Linked DNA regions of Lonchura striata. The protein of the gene in region 1 binds, or shares a complex with, the protein of each later gene. Links are inferred from orthologs where the notes say so. Each region holds a gene or a part of one and is shown in the gene's direction. Other genes may lie near its edges.

The links.
Region 2: the proteins of EIF2S1 (region 1) and EIF2B1 are in contact, whole or in part, in a cryo-EM structure (PDB 6K72), measured with the Homo sapiens proteins. The link is inferred for Lonchura striata from reciprocal best matches to the Homo sapiens genes EIF2S1 and EIF2B1. Residues at the interface, in NP_004085.1 of Homo sapiens: Ala28, Glu29, Met30, Tyr33, Gly44, Met45, Leu47, Leu48, Arg75, Lys80, Tyr82, Ile83, Asp84, Arg88; in NP_001405.1 of Homo sapiens: Gly39, Thr41, Ile42, Gln43, Gly44, Leu45, Arg46, Ala47, Asn48, Glu70, Arg74, Ser77, Ser80, Leu81, Glu82, Tyr83, Ser84, Asp85, Tyr86, Cys89, Leu305.

What each region holds. Positions count from the first base shown.
Region 1 is NC_134608.1:32,778,403-32,785,458, forward strand, and holds the start of EIF2S1 (eukaryotic translation initiation factor 2 subunit 1), read left to right. Parts: upstream 1-4,055; 5' UTR 4,056-4,161; intron 4,162-5,947; 5' UTR 5,948-5,948; coding exon 5,949-6,189; intron 6,190-7,056. Other genes in the region: ATP6V1D (V-type proton ATPase subunit D), read right to left, coding at 90-169, 1,240-1,357, 3,749-3,789. UniProt on the Homo sapiens protein: Member of the eIF2 complex that functions in the early steps of protein synthesis by forming a ternary complex with GTP and initiator tRNA. This complex binds to a 40S ribosomal subunit, followed by mRNA binding to form a 43S pre-initiation complex (43S PIC).
Region 2 is NC_134620.1:13,116,921-13,123,806, reverse strand, and holds the start of EIF2B1 (translation initiation factor eIF2B subunit alpha), read left to right. Parts: upstream 1-3,862; 5' UTR 3,863-3,920; coding exon 3,921-3,933; intron 3,934-4,128; coding exon of another isoform or gene 4,129-4,141; intron 4,142-5,330; coding exon 5,331-5,432; intron 5,433-5,508; coding exon 5,509-5,645; intron 5,646-5,718; coding exon 5,719-5,835; intron 5,836-6,024; coding exon 6,025-6,137; intron 6,138-6,755; coding exon 6,756-6,824; intron 6,825-6,886. Other genes in the region: GTF2H3 (general transcription factor IIH subunit 3), read right to left, coding at 1-28, 143-211, 426-479, 665-739, 824-852, 1,282-1,311, 1,547-1,609, 1,863-2,026 and 3 more.

The sequences.
Region 1 (7,056 bases):
TACCTTTTTTTCCAAAAGAGGAAATAATAATTTGTTGATAGCTCTTTCCCATAGATAGGACAGCCTCACAAAAGCCCAGCAATCCTCACCTGAAATCTCCTGCTGTGAACTTCGCCTCAGCAAGTGAAAAGGCAGCTTCTCTCATCACCTCACCCATCAGCATCTTAGTCTGTTTAAAAAAGAAAAGGCAACAAATACAAGGCACATTGTTACTACTTTTCCAGGATAAAAACCTAGCAGCTTAAAGAGAAGAAATTGAAGAGAGTGAGAAAGTCCTATATGCATAGCTTACTCTCAAACTGGTAATTGTAATTCTCAGGTGACTGGCAAAAATAGAGAAATATTTCAGCTGTTTCACATTGTAGAATTCATAGAAAAAGCAAAATATTTGCCTTACTCATTAAATTCTATTACATGGGGGTTAAATAAGAACAATAAAGTGGCTCAGCAGGAAAATATTCTTGTTTCACATTGTATGAAATACTATGAGACAGCTGAAGGTTGTTTTCAGCATACAAATGTATACAGCTTTGTGAAGCTGCACTCTCCTCCCACTCTGTTTTTTCCCAATTTTTACAGATTTTTAGCCCTTGTAGCTAAAAACTATTGAGAAACACCAGCCTTTGTGTTTTAGACAATGTATAGGAAGCCATGACATGATGAGATCTTGTCTACAGTGTGGCAACAAAGGACCACAGCTAACCACGGACTCTGCAGCAGCTGCAGCAAAAACAGTACAACTAAACCCATCTGATAGGGCAGAACAGAACAACACAGAGTAGGCTCCACTGACTATCTCAGATTTGTCATCCATGTTACAAAGAAAGATGCAAGATGTTACAAAGAAGAAACTTTATAGATATGCAGTATTCCCTCAAGCCAGAAAAAGCAATAAAAATGGGGCTACAGAACATTTTAATACCCAAAGTATTTGGCAGTATCAGAGCAAATTCCCTGTAACATAGAAGAGATGATCGGGAACTTGTAAAACAAAAGAGAGCAGAGGCTAAGACTGTCTGGAAAGAGGGGAAGAATATTAACTCTTCCAAGTTTCTGTATCATTGCAGCCACAGAAACATAATGCTGCTCATGTGTTCTCAGTAGTCTCACTTACAAAAAACAGGTTAGCCAGAAAGTCATCCTATATTCCAGCCTATCTAATGAAGTTAGGAGAATAGGAATGCACAACAGACAGAACATTAAAGTGAGCCAAACAAAGGAAAATTCTAATTTACCTACCTCAATAATTTTCTTAAGGATCTGTCTGAATCGAAGTGTCAAAGCATCAGATTTTTTCTTCAAGAGGTTACGACCTGTTTGGGCTCCTTTCAAACGAGCCTTCATGATGGTCTGAGCCCTGGTAAGCAGAGGAATAAAGAAAAAGCATCCTGCATCATCTGAAGAGATTAGGAAAAAACTTAGGTGAAGTTTTCTGACATGTATATGACTGAAATTATGAAGTAACCATGAAACACCATTGCAGTAAAACAGGATGGCCACTTCAGGACAGAATTTTAGATTCCCATTTAAAATCAAGGGAATTTATATTTATCTCCATCATCAATGAGAACTACAAGGTTATTATCTGTGAAGTCAAAACTCATGGAAAATTGACAAGACATCTTTCAGTGCTTCTATAATAGGAAATAAGAGTTTTCATTTTTCTTCATGACTTGGAAGTACCAGAAATCAAACTACTCCAAATACCCAGTGTCGCTGTGACATGGGTATTGCTTTTAAGTTCTTTTACTGCCATGCCACCTTCTCAAAATCAGACAAAGCAAATTCTTCATGTGGTCATAACAGTTGATGCCATGTTTTGATTTTACAGAGCAAGAAGATGCAGCAGTTGTACATTCTGATTTTCCTTATGCTTATATGCTGCATAGGAGATTTACAAGCTATCAAAGACAATCAAAAGCAGCGACAATTTAAAGGGATATTAGTGAGTTAGCTGTAGCTTTCACCTTTACATCCAGTAGCACACTTACAGGTTTCTTGTGTGAAATTAGAAACTGCACTGCTTTCTACATGCAACCACTGTGCACAAAGGACACCGCTTAAGTCAAGTTCTTACACACTTCCTCTCTGACCTTGGAAAAAATAAGTATAATTAAGATTCTTTCTACACAGTGGAATCCATTACTGACCACATCTACTAGTATATGATGAGAGTAGCTCCATTAACATCTACCAAATACGTCTAACTGAAAACCATTAATACTTTATGAATGTTTATGATTTAAAAAAAAATCAGAGAGTAAAAAGGGAACTTTCCCAACAAGCAGGTGGCTGTCATCACCTTGAACTAACTTGTTTGCTCTGTTCACCACCTGCCAGAGACTGGCTCGTCTTCTAGTTCAAGCAAGACCTCACTTGCTCTGAGAGTGCAATAAACAAAGTTTTGTTTACTCTCAAGGAAACTGAGCAACTTCTGGAATTGAAGACATCCAGCACAGAAGAAGAAGCTCATACCAGCAAGCTACTTTATAACAACAACAAAAAAAACCCCAAACCAACATAAAAGGTAAACCTTGTGAAATTCTCTTCTGTCAGGTAACAAAATTATTTGTTGCAGACACAGGTCATCTTTCTTTTGCCATTCTAACTTATATTTCTTTGGGAACAGCACCCACATTATTGCCTATCACCTCGTTTAAAAACGGGCTTGTAAATATTAGGTCTTTGTATATGACCACCCTCATGCCACAGTGACACATCACCTCACAAAACCAAGTACCTTTCAAAAGTGATTGAAGTGCCCCCTCCTTGCACACCTAAACTGAATGGAAAAATGCACTACCAAAGAGCAGGAGTGAGGCCAGATGACTTAATGTATGCAATAATTCATTCCCGTGTATGCAATAGTTTATTTCTAAACTAAATTTCAAAACAAAACCTTTGCCATGTAATGTATTAATCTTTCCATATAAACTGTTACTTTTTATGTCCTGAGCTCCTACAGAGTGAATAATTATTGTTTTATGTTTGAGGGTTTTTGTCCTTCAAGGCATCCTTTTTATTATAAAGATTATGTGCAGGCAACCCATTTTTATGCAAGAAGATTTAAAATAGCCTTTCACCTTAAAGCAAAGTCTGTCTGTCCTGGAGGGTTCTCAAGAGAAACTAAACAGTGTTATTAAACCAGCAATTTTATTCAATTGTTTGCTTTAGTTCCAGTGTTGTTGGCAGCTTTCTAAGCTTTCTCAGGAGACATCTGATTTCATGACAAACAGTTTGCTGTCTGGATCTGGAAAATTACCTGACTGTCCACTACACTGGGAGCACTTTACTTCCTTCTTTTAACGCGCTATGGCCAAGCTCTCGTGAAGCAGTATCCTCTGTTGCAAAGTTATGGGAAGCTGTCGTTCCGTTTGTCCATTTTTCCTACACATACATTCCACAAATTGTTCTTTTTTAGGTAAGGCTTGCGTAATCACATTATTTTAAATATCACACCGGCATCTCGGTGCCGGGCCCTGCCACGTCCCTCTAAGGCCAGACAGAGCTGACGCGGAGCCGGGAAGCAGAAGCTGAAGGTTGGGATCAGGGGCCCTCGGCGGCCCGTCACAGAACCGGGGGAGCCCCGCTCGGCGGCGCGGGGCAACCGGCGGAACGACTGCGAGCGCCGAGCCCCGGTGAGGAGCCCCGAGCGCCCCGAGAGCCGCCGCTCCCGCCGCCTCGGCAACGGCACGGACCCCCGCGCTCCCCCCGGGCGCTGTCCCGACCCGTCCCGGCGGACACTCACATCCGCGAGGGGAAGATCTCGATGCGGTCCTTGGCCGACATGGCTGCGGCGGGGCCGGCTCGGGCTGTCTCCGCTGTCACCGCCGGGGCCGGGGCCGGGACCGGCCGTCGCCGCCGCCCTCACGTGACTCGGCCCCGCCCCCGCGCGAGGCGGGGCCCGCGCGGCGCCGGGCGCGCCGCTCGCGTCACGTGTCTGCCGGGGCCGGCAGGAGGAGACGCGATTGGCTGAGCCCGAGGCTCCGGCCTCCCGCCGCCAGGGGGCGCTCGAGGGGATCGCGACCCCTCTCTCCTCCTCGGCGTCGCGGCAGCTGCGCAGTGGGGCGGCGGCGGCGGGGCGCACGCGGCGGCACGAGCGGAGCCAGCGCGGGACTGGGGTGCGCGAGCGCAGCGCGAGACCGCCCGGGCCGCAGCCAGGTACCGCCGCGCGCGCGGCCCGGCCCTCGCGCGGGGCCCGCGGCCGGGGGGGCCGCGCCGCTCGGGGCCGCGCCCGGCAGCCCGCGGGGCCGCGCCGCTCGGGGCCGCGCCGCTCGGGGCCGCGCGCGGGGCCGCGCCCGGTGCCGCGGGGCCGCGCCCGGTGCCGCGGCGCCCGCGGGCAGCGGCCGTGCCGGCGGCGCCGCTCGGGACCGGCTCCGTTTCTGCGGACGCCGTGCGGCCGAGAGGGCCTCGGCTGAGGCGTGTCCAGCCGCGGGAAAAGCCTCTGAACGCCAGCTTCGGCGCGGTGGGCCTAGTGCTGCTCCTGGGGAACAGAAGGCCAAAATAAAAACCTTGTGGCTGGGGAGAGGAGCGGAGTGGTGTTTGTCCGCTCTTGCTCGCTGTGGCTCGGGTTTGTCGCTTTGCAGTGCGGCTTGCTTGTGTACCCCAGAAGTACCGGCAGGATTGAGCAGAGCTGCATTCAGTAGACTAGAAAGCCAGACCGTAAAGTTTTCCTTTTTAACCTTGGAGTTCTTTGTTCAGCTTCAGCTTACATAAGTTATACAAAACATTCAGAGTGTTTTTATAATGTTTTACTAGTCTGTATTTCCCCTTTCTACAAGTTAAGAATTAAAATAAGGGTGGAAATGGTCTTCTTAATTGTGTGGACATGTGTACATAGCATTTGTCATTATCTGTCTACTCTGATTTTAAATTTTCTTATAGCTAGGAAGCATGAGCAAGGCTGTAAAGATCATGACTTAAAACTGGTGACTAAAATCTTCTGAAGGAGTGAAGCATTTGACTTGGCATCTTGGGCTGCTGCTGGAAAAATTTCCTGTAGAAAAATTTCTGTGTGAAACTTCAAGGCATAGACAACTGAACTAACTTAGACAAAACTTAGACTTTTAAGAGCATATGGATTCATTATCAAAAAAATAAAGCAGTTTAAGTATTCCTTCTTATCACTGCTTGATTATGAAATATTGCTTTTGCCTTTTTTTTTTTTTAATGTATAATGAAGGAATTCTGGTTTTTTTCATGTGACTTTGTTGGGTTTTTTCCCCTCCTGACTGTTGGGGGGCACTTTTTTCCCTTTTCAGTACTTCAGGCCAGGCTAGTTCTGTTCTAAATAATGCCTTTGCTTTCTTTGCTGACAATTGGCCTTTGGAACAGGTCTTGCAGGATTACTCTGAACATCTTGTGCTGAGTTTAAAAGTCATCTAGAGTCTGCTTCTCCTCAGTACTACAGAAACTTCCATCTTGCCTCTTATTTTGTTAGCCTCACATGCTGTCTTATGTGCATACAAAATGCTTCATGAGCACTGCATGCTTCTCTCTTATGTCCTCTTGCTCTTACAGTCCAGTTGATGATCCTTGAGAGTCCCAACTCAGAACTCTGTGAAAATGTTACACTCTGATGACTTTACATGCACGTGAGGTGTGCAGTCCCACCTTTCCACCACTCGAAGAAGCCTTTCCAGTGTTCTGTGTATAGGCAGTATGACAGGTGAAGTGTGTAATGAAGTCTGGGTAGCAAAGCTTTTTCTCCATTAAGGCAAAAAAATAGCATCTTAGGAAATGGTTGTGGTAATAGTATTTGAAATACAAGATAATTTATTACTTAATTTGTACTAAACCCTAAGTACAACCTTATCCTAATTGCTACTTTTTCTGCCACTGTTCTTCTCTATTGTCCCCAGTCTTTGCTGGTCTATTGCCGTGTTTGTAGGAGGAGGCAGTGATGTACTGTGAAATAAAACCTTTGATTTTTCTGCTTGAATTCCAGAATGCCGGGACTAAGCTGTAGATTCTACCAACATAAATTCCCCGAGGTGGAAGATGTAGTGATGGTCAACGTTCGGTCCATTGCTGAAATGGGAGCCTATGTCAGCCTGCTGGAGTACAACAACATCGAAGGCATGATCCTCCTCAGCGAGCTGTCCAGGAGACGCATCCGGTCCATAAACAAACTCATCCGCATCGGCAGGAACGAGTGCGTCGTGGTCATAAGAGTTGACAAAGAGAAAGGTATCTGGGCCTGTGGTGGGCTCTGTCAAGATTGAATTTGTAGACAGAAATGCAGATGAACTAAGCAGGTGTTTGTGGGTTTTGCTAGGACTACTTTTTTTGAGCATTGAAATAAAATAGACCATCACTGACCATACCTATGATTGTTCTTCTATTCCTCTTTGTTCTTTGGGAATTGGGTTAATGAAAGCAAATAAACATCAGTAAAAATTTAAGTGGGTCCTCACCAGATCAGTCACTGGACTATAGTGAAGTGAAATTTTCTTTTGGTATCTGTGTAGATTTTCTAAGTCAGCTGAAGAGAAGCATCATTTGCTGTAGATTCCTAGATGCTAAGCATTTAGTGCTGACAATCCATCCTGTTTGTTAACAAGTCTCAAACCTTATTGATAAAGGTGATGACAAGTATGTAATCATTGTGAATTCTGTAGGGAAAAGTTAGAATTGTACAGGTAGTTTTAGTTTTCCTGTCTTTTGAACATTTGAATCTTTGAAGGTTTTTTAAATGTAATTTCTATTGAGAAAATTTCAGATTTTGATAATATTATTCCACGCAATCTCTAAAATCTCTGTCCAGATGTACAGAAATAATAAACACTGAGCATGTCTCCTAGAAATATTAACTGTTGGTATGATGTTTCTCAAGTTAAATGCTCTTTTAGAATACTTCTGAGACTGCAGTTAACTCTGAGAATAAATAATGAATGACAGGATAAGGAAAAGCAGAGACAAAAGAAGGGCAAGAATAAACTTATTGCAGATAAATCTGAAGTGAAATAAGTTTCCCAACATCTCTAATGAAATTATACTTTTACTAATTAATCTTGTTTTCATATTAACAGAGAAACACATCTGGAATTCATCTAG
Region 2 (6,886 bases), on another chromosome or scaffold:
TCTGCTCTTGATCAGGGAGAAAAACCCACTGCATGGATAGAGAGAAGTATTTTGTGAATTGGGATGGTATTCCTGTATTATCAGGTCAGTGAAGGGAATATCTCACATCTGACACACTGAAGTGTTTTTTTAAGTGACTTACCAACAAATACTGCAGAAGGGATGGCATGTGGGGCACTTTCAAATATATACCACCTGTAATATCACAGGCCTGGAAAGCAGAAACCATGATCAGATTGTTGTTTGATGACATGAACAGGGCACTTAAAATATCCCTGTACTGCAAAAGGCCTGCATGTCCAACTGTCAGATCCACTGAACATATTTCCACACCCACTCTTGATTAAAGGAAAGAGCTGAAGAACGTCTAACATCAAGTATTTATGAGTTAATATAAATGGTAAATAACAACAGCAAGTCTCTACCTGTTGCAGAAGACCTGAATCAGAGTCCAAGACACAGGCATCAATCAAAATACTCTGCAAGAGATGACATGCATGAAAAATAAATTTAGCCAAAACCCACACAGCCCTGTCAGTGTCACTGTCATGACTTGTTTCCATGATAAATGCCCTATAAATTATGTAATCATAAGATAAATTAACATTTGTGTTATTTACACAAAAATAAAAGGTAATATAAATAGAAAAAAGGCCAGCTTCACCTGTTTCTGTGCTGCAAAGATCACATTCATGAAATTCATGTATTGCAATGCGCTGTCTTCTGCAGCTTTTATGACCTAAATACAAATTCAAACTTGTTAGCCTACATATATCACTGGATTTCAAGACTAAAAGAAAACAGTGACAACAAAAGTTCTTACCAGAATCCTTGATTTAATTTCTTGATTGACTAAATATTAAAAAGAAAAAGAAATGCATCAACACCTTGTTTGCATCACCCCTTTAATTCTGTAGCATATGACACCTCAGAACATACTGGATGTTAGATCTAACAGGTCAGATAAAGTATCTATAGGAAACTATTTCCAGTCCCAGTGACAATTATCTATGGAGTAATTCCTCTCAACCTCCAGTTATTCCACAGAAATTCCAATTTATTTCCTTACAACAGAAAATCTCCATAAGGGTGTGGACTATTGATCAAGTCCTTTAACTTTTTCAATGTAGGCAACCTCAAAATAAACCTCCACCTATCAGTGCCAATTTTGGAAATGGGGGTGTATCCAAACATGTATATTTGTGTGTGCAAGTGTATTTATACCTGTTATTTAGGTTAAAATAAACCTTTCAGTGTTGAAAACAGGAAAAGAGGTGGTACCTTTTAGGTCTTTGCCCATCTTGTTGATGTCTACATTAGCTGGCATTAAGGAATCTACATTCCATTAGTGGAAATAACTCCATGATCCACACCACACATTCACCACCTCAGCCAATACACATTTTGATAAACACAAGCCACAGTTATCAGGCAAATGGTTCAGTTTTAAGTATTATAACAAAACAAGAAAACTAAAAGTTAGTACTATAAGAAACAGTGTTAAGAACACATAAAGGCTTTGAAGATTCTGTAATCAAAAGGATACAACAAAGTGCTTTAGCAAGTGATCCTGCTAACAGGGTTTCTGTTTGCTGGCCCTTCATGTCAGCTGCAATACAAGAAAAAGTGCAAAAGTTACTTTTATATACAAAAACAGCTGCTGGACCTAACAATACAAAATACTACACATTTTTATCTTTGGCCAATAATACTAAGGCAGAGGCCTGAAGTGTCAGGCCTGATAAACTCATCTACTTTAAGCATATTAAAATTCATATGATGAAAACAGAGGACATTTCTGCAACTCCTTGACAGTCCAAGCGTTTTCCAATTCTGCAAGCCTAGAATTTTCTTCTGCTTACTCTTTGTCATGAGGTCTTTAATCTCTTCTGCAATTGCATCATTTATTGCTGTTAATAATTCATATTTTCCATCCTTGCTGCTGGAGCAGTTAGATTCCATGGAAGGGCCTCCCTCTCCGAAGGGATCTGCAGCAGCCCAACGCTTCCCAGGGTACAGGAAACGGCTGAAACAGAGGGAAAGCAAAGTATTCATGTAAGAAAAAATGCTATAAATTAATCAGCTGCAGATAACAATATTCTGAAGTTTCATTTAAAATCTTTCTAATACGTTAGGCATTTGTAAGTTAGGTGACCTTCAACTTAAACTGGAGTAAAACCCACATTCAGCTCCCTCCTTTTAAGACATCTCTTAAGAGATCTGGTGAAATTCTTCAGCTGCACTTGAGGGTAGATCCTGAGATTCACAAACATCTGGAGGTAAAAATATCCCCTAAACAGGGAACTTCTTCAATTTGCATTGTTCCACTCCACACATATTCTACCATTCTCTCTCCGTGTATTTTTAAGTCTATTTAAGCCTCCCTTCTAAGTCCTTTTGTTGCTTTGTAAGTCATTAAGATTCTTTCCTACTTAGTTTCAGCTAATTTCTTTTTTTAAGACCATGATATATTACACAGTTTTAACTTGGTTTCTTGCCATCAAACAAGAAAATCAGGAGACAGATAGAGGAAACTGGAAACCTTTAGAAGCAGCTCTACCTTTCCTGAGTGTGACTTGCTATTACAGCGAGTTTGTTGGTGCGATTCATGAGCAGGTGAGAGTTTCCCAGCACCATCACTGCATCGATGCATTTCGACAGGGTGAACTGCTGGAAAAAAGAACAGAGCAGATGTAGCACAGTAACATTTACAGAGAAGCAATTCAGAAATAATCTGTGAAATTGTTGCAGTTTAAAAAACCTAAATTTGAAGATGCAGAATGAGCTTTTGCTGTTGAAAAAGCTCTAATGAACACAGAATGCTGCATAGGTATTTCAAAATGTTATGTGTAGTAAATATAATCTGCGCTATTCTTTATATGAAATATGCAATATTAGATACTTGTTAGATTATGCCCGTTTATATTAGTTCCCCCCCACCTTTGCAGGCAAGACTGGGTGTATATTAGAAACTGATTTACAAGTAAAAGGATTTGGCTTGGCCAGGAGATGGGCCATGTCAAGACTCCATGGGACTCCAGGTGTTGATCATCGGGTGCTGACCATCCCATAAACAGCCCAAGATGGATCTCATGGAAATCCTCAGACCAATACACGTGAATGCAGCGTTCCTGTAAATCTCATCAGGGATTCACCTACTCCAGACACTGAATTATTCCTCCTCATCACCAAAAAACCTATAGACTCTGAATAGAAGAAAAGACTGATTGCTGAAATCTTGGCCTCAAGCAGAATTTTCCCTATAAAAACCGCTTGGGCCAAGATAGAGGTGTGTGGGCATAGGGGAAAACCTCTGCTGAAGCTGACTCCTTGTTGCACACCCAGGGCCGACCCTGGGCTGGGCTCTGTTCTTTCCTTGTGGCTGGCTAGATAGAATTTGACCGCTAATAAAATCATTTTTTATTTTTAATCTGGCTGAATAAATTCTCATTTATAACAAAAAAGTATTACGATACCTGTTACACCCGAACATTAGCACAGTTCAGAAATGAAAGAAAATGACCGTTTCCCCCAGAAATGGCCATCAGCAGTGCCAGCGCCCAAAGGCCGTACCTCAGCCTCTCCCAGAGCCCTCTTCCCCCACCAGATCGGGTTGGTGTCGAGGACGACGATCAGCAGGCTCAGCTCATCATCTGCAAAGGGAGCGCACAGCGGCGTCACTGCGGGCCCCCGGCAGAGCGGTGAAGCCCCGGGGCCCCGCTCCCGGCCCCGCTTCCCCACGAGCCGCCCCCAGCGCGCTCCGCAGCGCGCCCGGACCCGCCGCGCCGCCGGGCCGCGCTCACCCGCGCTCATCGCGCCGCCCGGGCAGCGGCGGCCGCGGCGCCCGCGGATGACGCCCGGCCGGCGCTCCGCATCCGGCACGCCCCGGGCCGGCCCTGCCCAGCCCCGGCGGAGCGGCGATGAGCACGGACGGTAACGGGGGCGGTGGGCACGGAGGGTAACGGGGGTGATGGGCACGGAGGGTAACGGGGAGGAGATGGGCACGGAGGGTAATGGGGAGCGATGGGCACGGAGGGTAACAGGGGGGCGATGGGCACGGACGGTAACGGGGGGCGATGAGCACGGACGGTAACGGGGGCGGTGGGCACGGAGGGTAACAGGGGGGCGATGAGCACGGACGGTAACGGGGGCGGTGGGCACGGACGGTAACGGGGGCGGTGGGCACGGAGGGTAACGGGGGGCGATGGGCACGGACGGTAACGGGGGAGCGATGGGCACGGAGGGTAACGGGGGGCGATGGGCACGGAGGGTAACAGGGGGGCGGTGGGCACGGAGGGTAACGGGGAGGAGATGGGCACGGAGGGTAACGGGGGGCGGTGGGCACGGAGGGTAACGGGGGAGCGATGGGCACGGAGGGTAACGGGGGGCGGTGGGCACGGAGGGTAACGGGGGTGATGGGCACGGAGGGTAACGGGGGTGATGGCCACGGAGGGTAACAGGGGGGCGGTGGGCACGGAGGGTAACGGGGAGGAGATGGGCACGGAGGGTAACGGGGGGCGGTGGGCACGGAGGGTAACGGGGGCGGTGGGCACGGGGGGTAACGGGGGCGGTGGGCACGGGGGGTAACGGGGGTGATGGGCACGGAGGGTAACGGGGGGCGGTGGGCACGGAGGGTAACGGGGGCGGTGGGCACGGAGGGTAACGGGGGCGGTGGGCACGGGGGGTAACGGGGGTGATGGGCACGGAGGGTAACGGGGGACGATGGGCACGGAGGGTAACGGGGGTGATGGGCACGGAGGGTAACGGGGGGCGATGGGCACGGGGGGTAACGGGGGTGATGGGCACGGAGGGTAACGGGGGGCGGTGGGCACGGACGGTAACGGGGGTGATGGGCACGGAGGGTAACGAGGAGGAGATGGGCACGGACGGTAACGGGGGGGCGATGGGCACGGAGGGTAACGGGGGTGATGGGCACGGAGGGTAACGGGGAGGAGATGGGCACGGACGGTAACGGGGAGGAGATGGGCACGGAGGGTAACGGGGGAGCGATGGGCACGGAGGGTAACGGGGAGGAGATGGGCACGGTGGGTAACGGGGGGCGGTGGGCACGGAGGGTAACGGGGGAGCGATGGGCACGGAGGGTAACGGGGAGGAGATGGGCACGGAGGGTAACGGGGGGCGATGGGCACGGAGGGTAACGGGGGTGATGGGCACGGAGGGTAACGGGGGTGATGGGCACGGAGGGTAACGGGGAGGAGATGGGCACAGAGGGTAACGGGGGGCGGTGGGCACGGACGGTAACGGGGCCGCGGGGCAGCCCCGGGAGGCGCCGGACCAAGCCGGGCCTGACGCTCCCCGTTGCCTTCCAGATCTGATCGAGACGTTCAGGGCGCAGCTGAGGGACGACCCCGATGTCGCCTCGGCCGTGGCCGCCATCCGCGCGCTGCTGGGGTTCCTCAGGCAGGACCGAGGTGGGCCCGGGTGCCGCCGGCTGAGCCGCGGCTGCCGCCGGGGCGAGGCTCTGACCACGCGTGTCTCTCTGCCCAGGAGAGACCATCCAGGGGCTGCGGAACAGCCTGCGGGACGCCATCGACACCCTGTCGCGGGTGGACTCCTCGGTGGCCGTGTCCTCCGGCGGGGAGCTCTTCCTGCGCTTCATCAGCCTCACCTCGCTGGAGTACTCGGTAAGGGCTGCCCGCCCTGCCCGCGCTGCTGCCGGAGCCTGCCGCCGCTCACGGGCATCCCGCTCTTTGCCAGGACTACTCCAAGTGCAAAGAAATCATGATCGAGCGCGGGGAGATCTTCCTGACCAAAGTCTCTCTCTCTCGGAACAAAATCGCCAAGCTGTGTCACCCTTTCATCAGAGACGGTGCTGTGAGTAGGCCGGGGCAGCGTCGCTCCTGTTGGGTTCTGCTGCTGCTGGCAGTGAGGGAGGAACAGGAGGGGAGAGGAGTCTGATGGGGACTTCTGCACAACGTTGTTCTGCACGGCAAGGCATGATAAAAGTCAAGGTTTCCCGAGGCTCAGCAGATGTAATGTGTGAATTTATTTCTGTCCTGGCAGCGAATACTGACACACGCCTACTCCAGGGTGGTCCTCAGGGTGTTGGAAGCAGCTGTGGAGTCCAAGAAGCGATTCAGTGTTTTTGTTACTGAATCACAGCCAGATGAAGCAGGGCGAGTATTCATTGATTGGGTTTTATCTTGGTTCATAGGGTAAGTTACAGCTACCATCCGACTGGTCCTGCACTAAGAAAAGCTGCTAGGCTTGGTCGGAGCATGATAAACAGCAAGTATCGCTCATATCACATTATTCTGGACAAGTGAAAAAAATATCTAAAAAATATTGGTAATTAACTTTCCATACTCAATATCCTAATTAGTGTTATCTAGGTCTTCTTCAAAGGTTCACAACTTCTGGTCAGTGCCAGGCAGCCCTTGGGAGATAGGAGACAACTGCTTTATAATTATCTCTTTAAGAAGTAGGCTAAAATAATCAGTATTATGTTAATCATAGCAAAGTAAAATATATAGCTAACAATGTCATTTAAAGATGCCAAATAATTCCTTCAGAGCAGATGTTGTTGTATAAGTGAAGGAGTAAACCCTGCACCCTGCATAATACATGTCACTAACAACACGTAACAATTCCTTCAATTTCTATATCATAACTCATTTTCTGTTCTACCAGAAGGGGAATGGGGGTGGTCATAGGCTTCAGTCTTTCAGACAGTACTTTCATATTATTGTCTCTAAAAAAATTAATTTTTAAGGTCCAAACATTTTCTTTAATAGGCAAAAAATGGCAAAAGCTCTAAGGAAGCTGAACATTCCCGTGACTGTGATTCTGGATGCTGCAGTTGGGTAAGTCAGATTATAAATATTTTTCATCATAATTTCATTTTGACAGTAAGACAGAATAAACT